Linked DNA regions of Drosophila melanogaster. The gene in region 1 interacts genetically with each later gene. Each region holds a gene or a part of one and is shown on either strand. Other genes may lie near its edges.

The links. Genes that interact genetically often act in the same process or in processes that back each other up.
Region 2: of CkIalpha (region 1) and brat, changing one enhances a phenotype caused by changing the other (phenotypic enhancement), as found in Drosophila melanogaster (one study listed by BioGRID).

Annotation. Positions count from the first base shown.
Region 1 is NC_004354.4:12,651,051-12,659,231, reverse strand, and holds CkIalpha (casein kinase ialpha), read right to left. Parts: upstream 5,433-8,181; 5' UTR 5,064-5,432; intron 4,834-5,063; exon of another isoform or gene 4,700-4,833; intron 4,533-4,699; exon of another isoform or gene 4,263-4,532; intron 4,062-4,262; 5' UTR 3,995-4,061; coding exon 3,916-3,994; intron 3,855-3,915; coding exon 3,080-3,854; intron 2,899-3,079; coding exon 2,739-2,898; 3' UTR 1,398-2,738; downstream 1-1,397. Other genes in the region: tomosyn, read right to left, coding at 6,029-6,285, 6,369-6,493, 6,568-6,663, 6,731-6,817, 6,883-6,991, 7,108-7,557, 7,634-7,753, 7,815-7,937 and 1 more. UniProt on the Drosophila melanogaster protein: Casein kinases are operationally defined by their preferential utilization of acidic proteins such as caseins as substrates. Can phosphorylate a large number of proteins. Negative regulator of wg signaling.
Region 2 is NT_033779.5:19,132,040-19,137,863, reverse strand, and holds the start of brat (brain tumor), read right to left. Parts: upstream 4,043-5,824; 5' UTR 3,588-4,042; intron 2,935-3,587; coding exon of another isoform or gene 2,884-2,934; exon of another isoform or gene 2,631-2,883; intron 1-2,630. Other genes in the region: Polr1D (RNA polymerase I and III subunit D), read left to right, coding at 2,884-2,934, 4,043-4,090, 4,513-4,812; DCTN6-p27 (dynactin 6, p27 subunit), read right to left, coding at 4,840-5,380, 5,448-5,464. UniProt on the Drosophila melanogaster protein: A NHL-domain family protein that functions as a translational repressor to inhibit cell proliferation.

The DNA.
Region 1 (8,181 bases):
AAAGAAAAAATGCTTCAAACTTGAAATGAAAGTTTTTTCATATAATACCTTTAAATCAAGTAGCATAGTCGATAGTAAATCAAGTAACATTAATCGAGCCAACTCGCTTGCTAGTGGTGCCACCTGTGCAAACTCGACTGGTAGAGGTGCCACCTGTACCTACTCGCTTGCCAGTGGTGCCACTGGATTGCCTTTAAATTTTCGAAGTTATTGGCAGCGCTGTCCCAATTTCTACTATTTTTAAAACATTATTGAAGCGCATAATTGCACTAGTTAGGCAACTTTAAGTTGTTAAAGATATATTTCCAGTCACTTCAGCTCCACGGGTGGCAAAGTCAAACTATGTGGCAGCCATCTAAATCGCAGTATCAAAACAAGCGCCATAGTTTAAATTTCATTTGTATTTTTCCCCATGTTAGCTTTTTAGGAATGTAATGATAAAATAATGACAATGTTCTCAGGAGTTATCCTGCAATAAGTTATTTATAAATGTAAAATTATAAATAGCAAATGTTTTAAGATCTCTTGTCAAACTAAAGAGACGAATTGATAAATGTTGCGCTTCGTTTTTGCTCTTTTACTATTCAATCAGAACTTTAAATGTTCTTATCAGCAATTGCACTGCAATTGGTGTTTTCCAATCAGCGCCTTCTGCTTGCAAACGGGGTGCTGATTGGAATGGGTCAGTAGTGCAGTGGACATCCCATAAAGTTAATAAATAATAAAAAGCACATTCTCACACACAGACGGACCGCGTACGTGTCATTGGTCAACAATGACGAATAAACAAAGAAATTAAGAGGGTCTAATAAATAAATGTATTTCACAGTCGGGTTGCAAAAGACGTCAGCTGCTAAATTCGTTTTGGATCTTAAGAAAGACCACCTGAAAGTGAAAAAACATTACGAATCGATTTTTGGAGGCATTATGGAAAATACTTTAAAGAAAGATGATTAACGCTGCGCCCCCCTGTACCATCCATTACAGTATCGCAGATAACCATTCCATTAAATATAAACGTAATTTAAAATATTGACAACTTTCTCTACAAAGATTCTACGTTTTTTTTCTCATCTCTTCAGAATATTTTGCTAACTACCAGCTATGCAATCTACTAGATGATATCAATAGTAGCAGTACAAATTTAAATAAACAAACCATAAACCATAAACCATAAACCATAAACCAATGTGACAATGAAATGTTTTTATGTCACGTTCAAGTTTTCATAACTAAAATGCATTATTAATGACTGAACGCAAGATCTGAAAAACACAGGCATTTTTTTGTGATTAATTTAAATATATAAAAGCATCTTTAATTTCAACTAAATTTTAATTTCAGCTGAAACGAATACAACTTTAGATACAAAGCACTTATGGGGGAAATTAAATGTTGGGGCTCAAATAAAACGTATGCATATATATATATATATGAATATACAATTTTTATGTAAATTTAATATAGTATAATAAAAAAACTAATTACATGCTACAATTTTAAAAAAGATTATTAACCAATAGAGCTAATCGCTAATAAACAATGACGTATATTACAACAATAAATATATTTGAATGCACTTCTTTCCCTTTCGTATGCCCCCATCTCTATCTAATGCAGATGTGAACAGCGCCGAGTCGAAATTTAATTTCAACATATTTATTGATGTAATTCAAAAAATTAAATATAAGTTATATTTATAATTATTACGGCGTACTATGCAAAATTACTTTGCAGTTTTGCGGTCTGTTTTCTTCTTTTTCTTTCTTCATTATAATTATTATTTGCTTGTTTTACTCTTGTTGCTGCTTTTATTTTATATTTTCCCCCATCTCAGTTGGCTTTGCTTGGTTGTTTCTCCTCCGCATCCTCCACTATATTTTTTTTGTTTGCTTTTCTCGGTGTGTTTTATTAATTTTTTTTTATTGTTTATTCTTATTTGTTTGTTGTTTTTTTGTGTTGTTGTTTGCTTGTTGCTGTTTTGTTTCTTATTTATTCCATTTTAATTAGTTATTGAGTTTTGTTTCGCTCGATTCATAATTAAGCATTGGATTCGATTTGACGTGAATCAAATGGGTATATGCATACATATATGGTGTTGTGTTTATTCGCTTACATATATACATATACATATATATATAGGTTTAGTTTCCTCAGCATTACTTCATTTTGTTCCTCCAACTCTACCAATATTATTTCTTGTAATTTATTAGGCTAAGTGTTGTTGATTTCTTTCCTCTTCTTTTCTTCTTCTCTCTTCTTTTCTTTTTTCTCCCCCTTTTGGGCAATGATGTTTGCTTTTTGAGTGGGTGGATGAGAGTGGGTGAGTGTGTGTATGTATGTGTGTGTGTGGGTGTGTTATGCAAGTATGTTGATTTGTGTATGGATTGCAAATTAGTTTAAATCGTATTGATTTGCAATAATTTCGGTTTATGTTATTATCGATCGCAGTGATTCACTCGTGAATCACATTTGCTGGGGTATCATTTTATATGCCCTGCTGATGATGCCGTTGCTTGCTTGTTTGTGGTTCCTTATTTGTTTAGTATTGAATTTAAATTAATATTAAGAAACATTCGGACGACCGCTGGTGTTACTCAATTTTACGGTTGCGTCTGTTTCATATTTGCTCCGCTCCTTGCCGGGCCTTTCGCCCACATCAACGTCATTTACATCCACGCATCCACGTTCTCCTTCTCTGATGCACTCCCCCCATTCGTCTGAATGCGCTGCAGCTCTTAGTCCGCGATCAGGGGCTTGCCGTTCTGCTTCTCCTTGTCCTTGTCCAATTGCTCCAAGAGTATAGCTGGATTGGGTTGACCCTGATGGGTCTTCTGCTTCAGCATTGTCCAGTCGTAGATGTAGTCATACTGATGGTTCAGCGTTCTGAACAGTATGCTGTATTAAAGAGAAAGTTGGGGTTACATCATTTCGAATTAAAAAAAAAAAACAAGAAAACTATGACCTAAACACATATCGAATACAGCCTCCACAATGATTATCACCACAAACATTATCACAAAAACAATCGGGTGTAATCTTAAGATTCGTATGCAATATATGATTTAATCGTACTCACCGGAACAATTGACGTAGGTACATGTAATCTGGCTGCTCCTCGAAGCGCAGGCTACGACAATAGTTCAGATACATGGAGAACTCGGCCGGCGAGCCCTTGCAGAGGACCTCGATGGGCGTGGACATCTTCTTTTCGGAGATCTTCTCGTATTTCTGCTGCTTGGTGTTGGCCTTCATGCCTTGCCATGGCAGTACGCCGCGATTGAAGTACATCATCACGTATCCAAGCGATTCCATGTCGTCACGCCGCGACTGCTCGATGCCCAGATGGGCATTGATCGAGGCATAGCGGGCAGTGCCGGTGAGGTTCTTGTCCTCGCGGTAAACGATGTGATGGCGCGTGTGCGGATCGCGGAACTTCTTGGCCAGACCGAAATCGATCAGGAACAGCTTATTGCAGTGCCGACCAATGCCCATTAGGAAGTTATCCGGCTTGATGTCGCGATGGATGAAGCACTTGAGATGGATGTACTCCAAGCGTCCGATCATCTGGTCGACGAGCATCAGAACCGTTTTGATTGTGAAATGGCGCGTACAGAAATTGAACAGATCCTCCAGCGAGGGTCCCAGCAGGTCCATGACCAGGGTGTTGAAGTTCTTTTCCTTGCCATGGTGACGTATACGAGGGAATCCAACGCCGCCGCTCAGAATGCGGTACAGCTTGGCCTCGTACAACAGCTGCGGATGGCGGGCGTGGGCGCTCTCCATCTTGATGGCCACTTCTTCGCCGCTCTGGATGCTCATGCCCAGGTAAATGTCGCCAAACGATCCGCTTCCTGTGAATAATTTTCAGAGATTAGAGAATATTGTGGGGATAAAATCGCACGGCTGAATTACCAATCTTCCTGATCACCCGATATTTGCCACCGACGATTATCTCGGGGCGACTTTCCTTCAATATCCGCATCTTGTCCATCCTGGCTAGCTGCTCCTCCGCCTAAGCGCTTCGCTTCAAAAACAGTTGGACGCGTTCACTTGAAAAACTGCATGGGTTGGGAACATTATATGTTTTGTATATATTAAGTTAAGAACTAAACGCTAGGAGTTACTAATTATCATTCTGACACTTGAACACCCTTCATCTAAACAACTATATTACTCTAATACTACAAAGGGACCTATTACAAAACGAACAGTTTTGCGGATCCCAGAAAATGTAATCGTGTACTGTTTTATATTTTAACCTTAAGAAAAATGAGTGGTATCTTCTCTAGAGTTGTTTCACAGTGTTTTTGGGAAAGTTTTGAATAGTTGCCCCAACACAAAATGTCGCGACGATTTACAGACCAGCTGACATTTAACTAATATCACCAGAGCCTCTTTTTGCTGTCATCCCTTTCTCAACACTTTCTTTTCCACCTCTCTTTCTGCTCTCCGGAATTTGTTTTGCTTTTCTTTTCCAGCTTGCACTTTACGTGTTTTTCTGATGTTTCTCAACGGACCAATCGATATGTCTGCATTATCGATTACACTTGATCCCTACTTGAGGTGATGGAGGTGAAGGAGGAGCAATATTTCCTTTTGCACGGGGGCGGGCTGAAGGGAAATTCTAAATAAACACAGACAGACATCGATATACGATATTTATTGGCGACAGGTACTGCTTCCTCTTCTTTCTTACCCCGTTGGAATGCATATTACACACACACACACACTCATTGCTATGACGCACAACAACAAAAACAACAACGGCAGTCAAAGCGATACACACACACGCACACAGCTGCAGTTGCACCTTACAAATGTTTTACACAAAAGAAAATTTCGAAGGCACACATATACACACACACACGAACGCAGAGTGTGAGAAGCAGACCAACACATTGAAGCGCACAGCGAGACACGCACACCATCGAAGACCCATCACACACACACACACGTTAGCATATTTAGCACGCATTTGAAACTGGACGAAATGGGTGAAAAAATGATGGATCCTCGCGGAAATCAAACGGTCTAAGTTCACATTTGGGTTCATTTCTTACCAGCAGACGATAAATTCAACTAATTATTGCCCTGCTGGTTGTTTTTTCTCAAGGTTGGGGCTCTCTTTTACAAATATATTCGCTGCTTTTGCTCTGCTGCTTCTGCTGCTGGTGGAGAAAAAAAAACGGAACGGGGAAAATTTCGTCGCAGATCCGTTTTCGTTTTCTTTCGTCGTTATCGTTGTTTTCCCATTCAGTTTATGAAATATTGCACGAGTTCGCAGCTAGTTTTGTACGCGCACAAACGGAACAAAAAGAGAGGAAATATATGTATTTTATTAACTAAAATAAAATGGTAGATCCAGCAAAAATGCTTTTGCTTATATCGATAGGGCCCGATAGGTTCAACCAAACACTGCCACCTGATATCGTGGAACGATACGCTCAGATAGGTATGAACGAGAAACGATACTTCACCGTGGCACACTGCTAAACTATCGGATTGAAATTGACTTCGCGACTCTGCGGCGATTTTCAGCACTGACACAACACTGCGCGGATAATTCAAATGGGGAACAGAAAACACTTTTCACTCGTGTGCTGCTGTTATGTTCGAATCTGATACTAAAGTCTACTCAGAGTTGATGTTACTATAAAGAACGATTGAAAGCAGCACCCACTTTGTTCGAGCGTATAAAACATGTGAAACAAAGAAATCAAATTAAAAATACTTTAATAACCCACAATATTCATGAATACATTAAGACTCCACAGTGCCTGTTTTTTGGTCTATATATTTTTATTAAAAACAGTTTTTTTTTGGTTGGGTTTTCTCTTTCAGTTTTTTTGTTTTTGTGAATTTTCGGTTTTTGTTGTTTTTTTTTGTTGGTTTTCGGTTTTTGTAAATAACGTGACGACTTGAAAACAGAAATTAAATAAGTGTACTTTACTCGTAATGTAGTAGAAAGTGTTATAAAAGCAATATTACAATAACTGTGGTAGAATTGGCTCCTAAAATAGATATTTTACAACTGATACCACTTCTTGTCTTTATATTTAAGCATTAATTGATGCGCAGTGCCGCTGAAATCTTGAGCAGTGTTGGCCATGCGCTCGGCGCGCTCCTCCAGCAAATTTAGCTTCTCGCCGCGCTCCATGGCCAGCTGGTGCGCCCGGCTGATCTCCGATGCGGCGGTGGAAGCCCTCTGGCCGAGCTGCTCCAAATTGGGGCCGGGTATGTGCCGTGCCACCGATCGATTCGGTTTCCCGCTCTGCTCGCCAACTGCAAGGATAGGGATAGGAATTGTACGGATTATTGAAATGATCGATGGTAACGACATGCAGATCTGATGCAGATCTACTCACATAGCTCCTCGCGATCCAGGAGTTTGGCGCCACCACCAAATAGACCCTTGAAGAAACCCTCCTTCGGCTGTTCGGGCATTTCGTGTACCGTATATAGTTCACCCATCATCTCCAAAATAAATTGACTTGAATAAGGGAAAGAATTACAAATTAATATGCAATGTTTAAAGTACAATGAATTATGTTTGTTTTGGTTTACCAAAATTCCGATGATATCGTGAATTTTTGAATTTCGGTGGGCGATGCCATGTACAATCCATGACCTTTATGACTAAAGCAAAATATTTTTGATATTCTGTGGATAATGGAACAAGATTAGTAAAAGTTGGAAATAAAAATATATATTTTAGCTTAGGACTTACTGAGTTGTATCTTCATGAACAATGATCTGTTGACCCCATATCGAAAGCATTGGATCCACAATTCCCTGTTTACATTTTGTTTGAAAACTAAATAGACGATAGAACCATTAGTTGTAAAAATGCTAAGAGTACCTTATAAGTGTACGGCTCACCTTAGTTCCATAAGTGGTAAGAAATCAGTATCCAATAACAGTTTTAGACTAGGAAGACTATGTACCATTAGATGGCCATTCGAAAGATAGGTTGCTAAGCAAGAGCCATCTGGAATGAAGGGAACGTTGATATATGTATTAATTACAATCAATTGCACTAATTACAACAAATTATGACTTTCTTGCTCCACTAATAAAATGAAAATAAAACAAAGTGAAAGTCACCTTTCATCGTGATAGTTTCTGCCTTGACTGCAAAATCCATTTCCGATAATTGTATGCGGTTGATGCAGCACTGGTTGGCGACATCGAAGACTTTTGTTTGCTTCTCGCTTGCGATAACGATGTATTGTCGATCGGTGAGAGTTTCCAGGCCGGTGCTCACACTTCCGCTGATGCCGCTGCTGCTGGCGCTGCTGCTGCTCATCCCCCCGCCGCTGGTTACACCGCTTCCAACGCCGCCGGCCGCTCCAGCCGCCGATCCTGCTCCGGCACCACCGCCGGCTGGCCCTCCTGCGGCTGCGCCACCGCTGGCCGCACCACCGCCGGCACCACCACCGCCGCCAGCTCCTCCGCCTGCGGACGCACCACCCGCGACCGAAGTGTTTGATAATGTATTGGCAGTTGTCGGTGTGAATGTGGGACTGGTGCGGCTGCTGCTCTTTGTTGGTGTGCCTTGAAATCATATTGGATATATATGTGGATTAGTCGGGGGCATCAGATCAATGTGGTATGAAGTCGAGATGCTTACGATCTTTGTTGTCCCTCTTCTCGTCACGCCAGGTCTCAAACGTATAGGGTATGATCGAACCGTATGAGTCTAAAAAAGACATGGAAGTTATGGATCCTTTGAGTCGTACCACGGGGCCACCTGAAAAAAGGAGAAGATATTTAAAAAGGTTTTCATTTATGTGCGTGGCTTTATCACTTACCATTTATTGTTATCAATACTGGCTGAGATTTGCGCACATCTCGCTCGGGCATGGTGATGAACAATGTCAGTATCGAACCGAAACTAGTTCCAATCCACAAAGTAGGAACAAGTGTCAAAATATCTAAGTAAAAACAATGTTAAATATATGTATAGATGTTAAGATATAATCTAATCACCGATCAGTCTTACCATTTCGTTTTGCATAACTCTCGATAAAAGCTAAACAGGTAACAGATTCAGAGGAAGACATATCAATGCTGGACATTGACGATGATCTGGATCTTGAGAAAGTTCCATCCAATTTATCTGTAATTTATTCGGGTTTGGTTTTGGGAATCAGAAAGTGATTTTGGTTTTTTGTTTTT
Region 2 (5,824 bases), on another chromosome or scaffold:
GCGAAAAGGGAAAAAGTGAAACGAAAATGAAACGAAACTAGGCACAGGACATCCACACACACACACACACACACACGGGGGATGCGGTGCGAGTCCTTTGAGGAACCGAGCAGCAACCACCACCACCGAAACAACATCAACAACATCAACTTGAACTCCCCATCCGCAATATGGGCGATGGCAACGGCAACAGACGGCATCGGACACATTTTACGGCTGCCCTACGGCGTATTATGCAAATCCCTCCAAGCGTATTGTGAAAAAAAAAATGCTCAAATAATGCACGAATAAAACATGCATTTCAATTGCGAAAACCACAAGGATGTCTGGGTGGCTTACAGCGCCATTTCCCTTTCAATTCACCTGAAACTAAAGGCCGGAAATCAAGAGCCACTCTCTTTTCGAATTTTGCTGGCTTAAATGTTCCCGGAAGCAGCGGATGTCGAGATTTAGGTAACTTAGTTGAAGGATTCGCTATTCTAAGCCAACATCATAGACTTTAGGCTTATAATCCATGTAGCTTTAATAATCAATAATTAGAACTATTTTTCACACAATATGTGGAATATACAATACATATGTACATACATGTATCATGTATATGTACATACATATGACAACTAAATGATCTACGGTTTGTTATTATATCCTCCTAAAATATGGCTAAATTTCGATACCCGACACAACGAAGACCAAAAACAAGGAAACCCGAACAAAGGCGAAACAAGAGAAAAATGCATGTGAGGTTTTTGTTTGTTTTATGTCTCTCTGCCGGCGTCGCTGCTGCTGCGTCTGGGCAGCGATCACGCACACATAGAGAAGCACACAGAAGAAGGAGGGAGAGAGGAGGGGACTCAGCGCAGCTTCCTTTTGACTGGCTCTTCTTACAGAGGAAAAAATGATGTGGCTGTAAGTATCACTTGTTCCTATAGATCTTAAATGTGCAACCAAGTGATTGTGTGTTATTTAGTATTGGCATTGTTGTAAAATTTATTACATCACAAATTATCAAATAAATTTATTAATGCACTGATTAACAGTAATGGTACTAAACTCGAACCTATTAATCAAATATTGCACTTTTCGGCTTAAAAATTTGTCCTGTTGTGTAGTTACTTTACTTGGTTTTTATGTTGATTTTGGGAATTCTAAAAATGCTTGCAGCTTCATCCTTCTGCGTCTCTGTCTCCTTCTCTTCTCCTCGATTCCCCCCACCCCCTATTCGTGGCCCGCATCGAATGCAGCAGATGACAGGTTTTCGCTCTCCTCCGCCCCCTGCTTTGCTGTGCTCTCCGGCTTTATGGCGCTCCCCACCTCCTTCGTGACTCGCTGCACAGGATGTTGGAATATCACGTCGTCGTGTCCGTGTTCCCGTCTGTTCCTTGTTCTCGTGCTCTTCGTCTTCGTCTTGTGCCATTGCCACTTCACCTTTTTTGTCTGCATTCGAGCTAAAGGGGCTCCCCTTTAGCCCCTTCTTCACCTCAGCTACTCCTTCCACTTCCTTTCGCTCCAAAACTGTCTGTGTATTTTATTTTATTTCGTTTCGTTTGGCTTTCGATGTCTGCAGCATCCTTGGAACTTTCTGGCACAGTGGGCCCAACAAAAATATTGCATGCACCATTGATAAATATAGATAAATGATCGAAAGAACACACCATTGCTATGTTTACTGACAGAATTATTTTCAAAAACTCGTTAAGCATTTATTAATTTACCAATAGAATCGGTAAAAACCTTAGTACCATTATACATAGAATTTTTGTTTTAAAATTCAATTTATAACCTGTCCTTGTCAAGTCAGCACACTGTGTCTACATCGTGGACAGGTATTTTGTACCTCAAGTGGATTATTTGCAATATTCATGGCACAAGGTGGAATATACACCACCCTTGGGAGGACTTAAAATTTCGGGCTCCCCCTCTTTTATAATTTATTTTCACGTGCGCAGCTATACACAAAAAATACTTTTGTATTTTGAATTAATATAATTTTAAAATGGTCTACCGTACTGCATCCTTTTTCTATGCGTTTATTACTTTCTACTAGTTTTCGTTTATTATACGTTGAAAAGATATATTACACACGAGGTGGTGAATTGTTTACGAATCAGCTTCGCGAGTAAATGCTAGGGAAGTTATTTTCTCTATGTACAGGCCATAGATCGCTGTTGCTATGTACATATGTATGTATGAATGTATATATTAGGTTGTGTTTACATACATATTTACATGGGCCCTCTGGATCGTATTCCCAGAACCATTTCGCACTTCTCTTTTTCGTATTCTCCCTTTTTGCCACGATCGTGACGGTTATATGCAGTTCCTTTGTTGTAACCACTACAAAGCCAAAATAATTGCAAACTCAAAAGAAACCCATAAAAGCAAGAATAGAGTTAGCCCAGGAGAGAGAGCAGCCACTTTTTTCGGCCAGGAGAGAGCAGCTGCCTCGCTCTCACTCACACACGAGCCACAAAAACGCCGGCTCTCAATACATACATATATACATACTTAAACTGCAGGCCATGTAAAAACAAAAACAACAAGGCAAAAGGGCGCCCAGCATAATGGGGGAAACGAAATGGAAGAGGAACGCAGCCTAGACTAAATTGCAACAACTGCAAATTGGGGGGAACGCATGGCGCCAAACGAAACGTGAGACAGACTCGCGCGCACTGCCATACATACACGAAAAGTGATTATTACAACACAAGCGCTGCGGCGCGTGGGCGCGAGGAGGGGGAACGCATGAGATAACGGAACATGCTGCCGCATTAGTCACCACCAAAGCACAACAGATGTGTGTACATGTGTGTGTGTCAGCTACCACCGAACAAATGAGTGCAAAGGAGTTAGCAGGATGCCGAGAAGGAAGCGGAGAGAGGAATGGCAAGGGGCAGGGGAGAAGAGCATAGCAACCAGTGGAAACAAAATACAGTGAGTATTGGCTAAGAGCTATTGGGTATCTTTGCAATAAAGTGTTGCATACCCTAGGGAGAAAAATATTTATAAAAATCTTATTGGATTAAAAAACCATACATATTAACGAAATTAAATAAAAAATATTTTTAAAATTTTACTGGAAACTACGTAAGATCATATTTGATTGTATTCAACCTTTTGGTTATATGCATATAAATCGTAAAGTACATGTTAAGAAACCGAATACTGTTATTCTCGTAATTGGTAATTGAAGATGCAGACTGCGAACGTGAATGCAAAGTGCCAATTAGGAAATTTAACAATTTGGAAATAAAAGTCTACATTATTGGCAATAACTAACGAAAAGCAGAACAGGAGGCACAGTAACGAACAAGATAAAGCTTTAGTTGAGCCTCTGAACTGGTATTTTTTAGCCATCACTTCCGCCTTCGCGGGCAACAGCGTCGACGGCACGGCGGCAGAGGCAGCTGCCTGTTTGCAGCTGTGTGCGTGCACAAAAATAAAAGGGCGCATGAATTTGCATAATTTTCGGAACCAGATGGGGGGCGTGGCCGTCAACAAAATTGAAATGACAACTCGAGCTTTTCAATACCGCTTATTTATGTATGCGATGTTATTAATAAGCACATGGTGGGCATTAAACAAACCTGTATTGCAGTCAATTCCTGATGGAAACGGCGAAAAAGCATGTAAAATGAATTGCCGATTCGTCGTTGTATGCGTTTTTCCCGAGTGTCGGTGTTTTTGGAGCAACTTCACGTTGAATGCATTGCGCAAATAATTATGTTTGCCGTTGCAGTTTTTTTGTTTTTGTTTTCTTCGCTCCGCTTCGCCTCTCTGCTTCTTTCCTTGCCGCCTTTTCTGCTGATGCTTTCAAACAAACCAACACTCACACACGTATGCAGAAGGCGGCTTGCAATTATGCTAATGCGGCTGTTTGCGACACTTTTTCTTCTTTTTTTTGGCCGACACCGCACAAAACTGATTTCGCAGTTGGCCCAATAAAATTGGCCACAGAACAAAGCGAATTAAGAAGCAACACACACAATTCAATGCTCTGTCTGAAAACCGCGTCCGTGTCAGAACGCGTCAAGAACTGGAGCTGGTGGAGACATCGGCGCGCTATCGATACATCGATGACGTTACCACGGTATTTATGCATTTACTTAGAAGTAACTCATTTGATTTTCAAGAATTAAAGTCAATGTTGGTATGACACTTGGCACAAGCAAACAGTAGGAATGTTTCAGAAGACATACTCTTTTATACATACACAACTTAAATTTAACAGTTTTTTCGGGAAGATATGGCTAAGTTTTACTTAAATTCAAAATGGGATAGGCATCTCTAGTTTTTAGCTACATTGCATTCCAATTGGAATAAGCCGTCCTTAGCTACTTAAATCGATATGTTTCGATGACTCTAACATCGATTGCCGAGGCATGTGCCCTGCACGTTTTTTGTAAACAAACGAACGAGTATTTGAACAAACTGAAAATGGGAGCATTGGCAGAGGTAGACAATGCATTAAATATGCAATGTGAGTAATTAATTCTTAAATACTTTCCCCAGCTGGCTGGTGATGAGAAAAACGGCGAAGGATCTCGTACTTTTGTGTTCACCAACGAGGGCCACACGCTGGGAAATGCGCTGAAAACGATCATAGCCCGCTACCCGGAGGTGGATTTCTGTGGCTACACGATTCCGCATCCCACGGAGCAGAAGCTGCACTTCCGCATTCAATCCCGTCGAGACAGAGCCATAGATATACTTAAACGGGGACTGGAGGATCTGGAGGGTCTGTGTGATCATACAATCGTTACGTTCGAAAAGGAGATGGCCGAGTTTAATGCAATGAAAGTGGAAAATTAGATATATATGTATAAAGAATACTTAAAACTAAACCACGCTGCGCGCCTTCTTGGGATCGTAGTTGGGCTTGCGTAGATGATGATAGTTTGGCAGGACCTTGCGCAGGAAGTCGATCTGCAGGGTCTGCGATCCCTGCTTGTCGATGGCCTCGCGCTGCAGGCCCTGCTCTCCATAAACAATCGTGTTTTCGGGCAGGCGTTGACTACCATGGATCTTTATTCCAGCTCCCACCACACAACCGCTGGAAACAGTGACACCGGGGCCCACATAGCACTTGCTCTCGAAGACGTTCTTATCGCCAATCTTGGCCGCTTCCACTTGGCAGCCGACTTCAAAGACATTGTGAGTGCCAATGCTCAGGATATTGTTGACATCCCAAACGGCGCCCGGCTCCAAGCGGTGAGCTACGGTGGCATATTCCTCTATGATGCAATTCTCCCCAATTATTATGGGACCTGCGTCGGCGATAACGGTGGCACTCGGATGAACCACACAGCCCGACGAGAAGGTGATGTCACCGCGCAGGCTGCTCTCCTCGCAGACCACCGCCTTGGGTAGGATTTTGATTCTGTTGAGTGGCAATAGTATAGCTGCATTTCGTAAATTAGTTTTGCAAGTACTTATGCTGCAATCACCTGTTTTCCGAGGGCATTTTCTGTTTTCTTAAATTGTTTACGTTTTCTCACGAAGGTGAGAAGGAATTTATATTTATCGATAATAAATGAGGGCTTGCAAATGAGGCGATATATTATAGCCAGATTTAGTTACTTTAAAATATCGGAAAGGTAAAAATAATGATTAAAGACCTTTGCATAAAAAAACCAGATATAACAATAATGACGTCGAACTTTATTGCTCAAAAACCAAAATAATGTTGAATACTCATTTATAAACAATACATACTGATTCCCGTTCATAGGGATAGTTGTTTTTATAAAACCCTTTTATGCAGAGAAATATTTTTTAAGAAATAAACACAATTATTTATAATGTAATAGAAGATTTCCCGTCC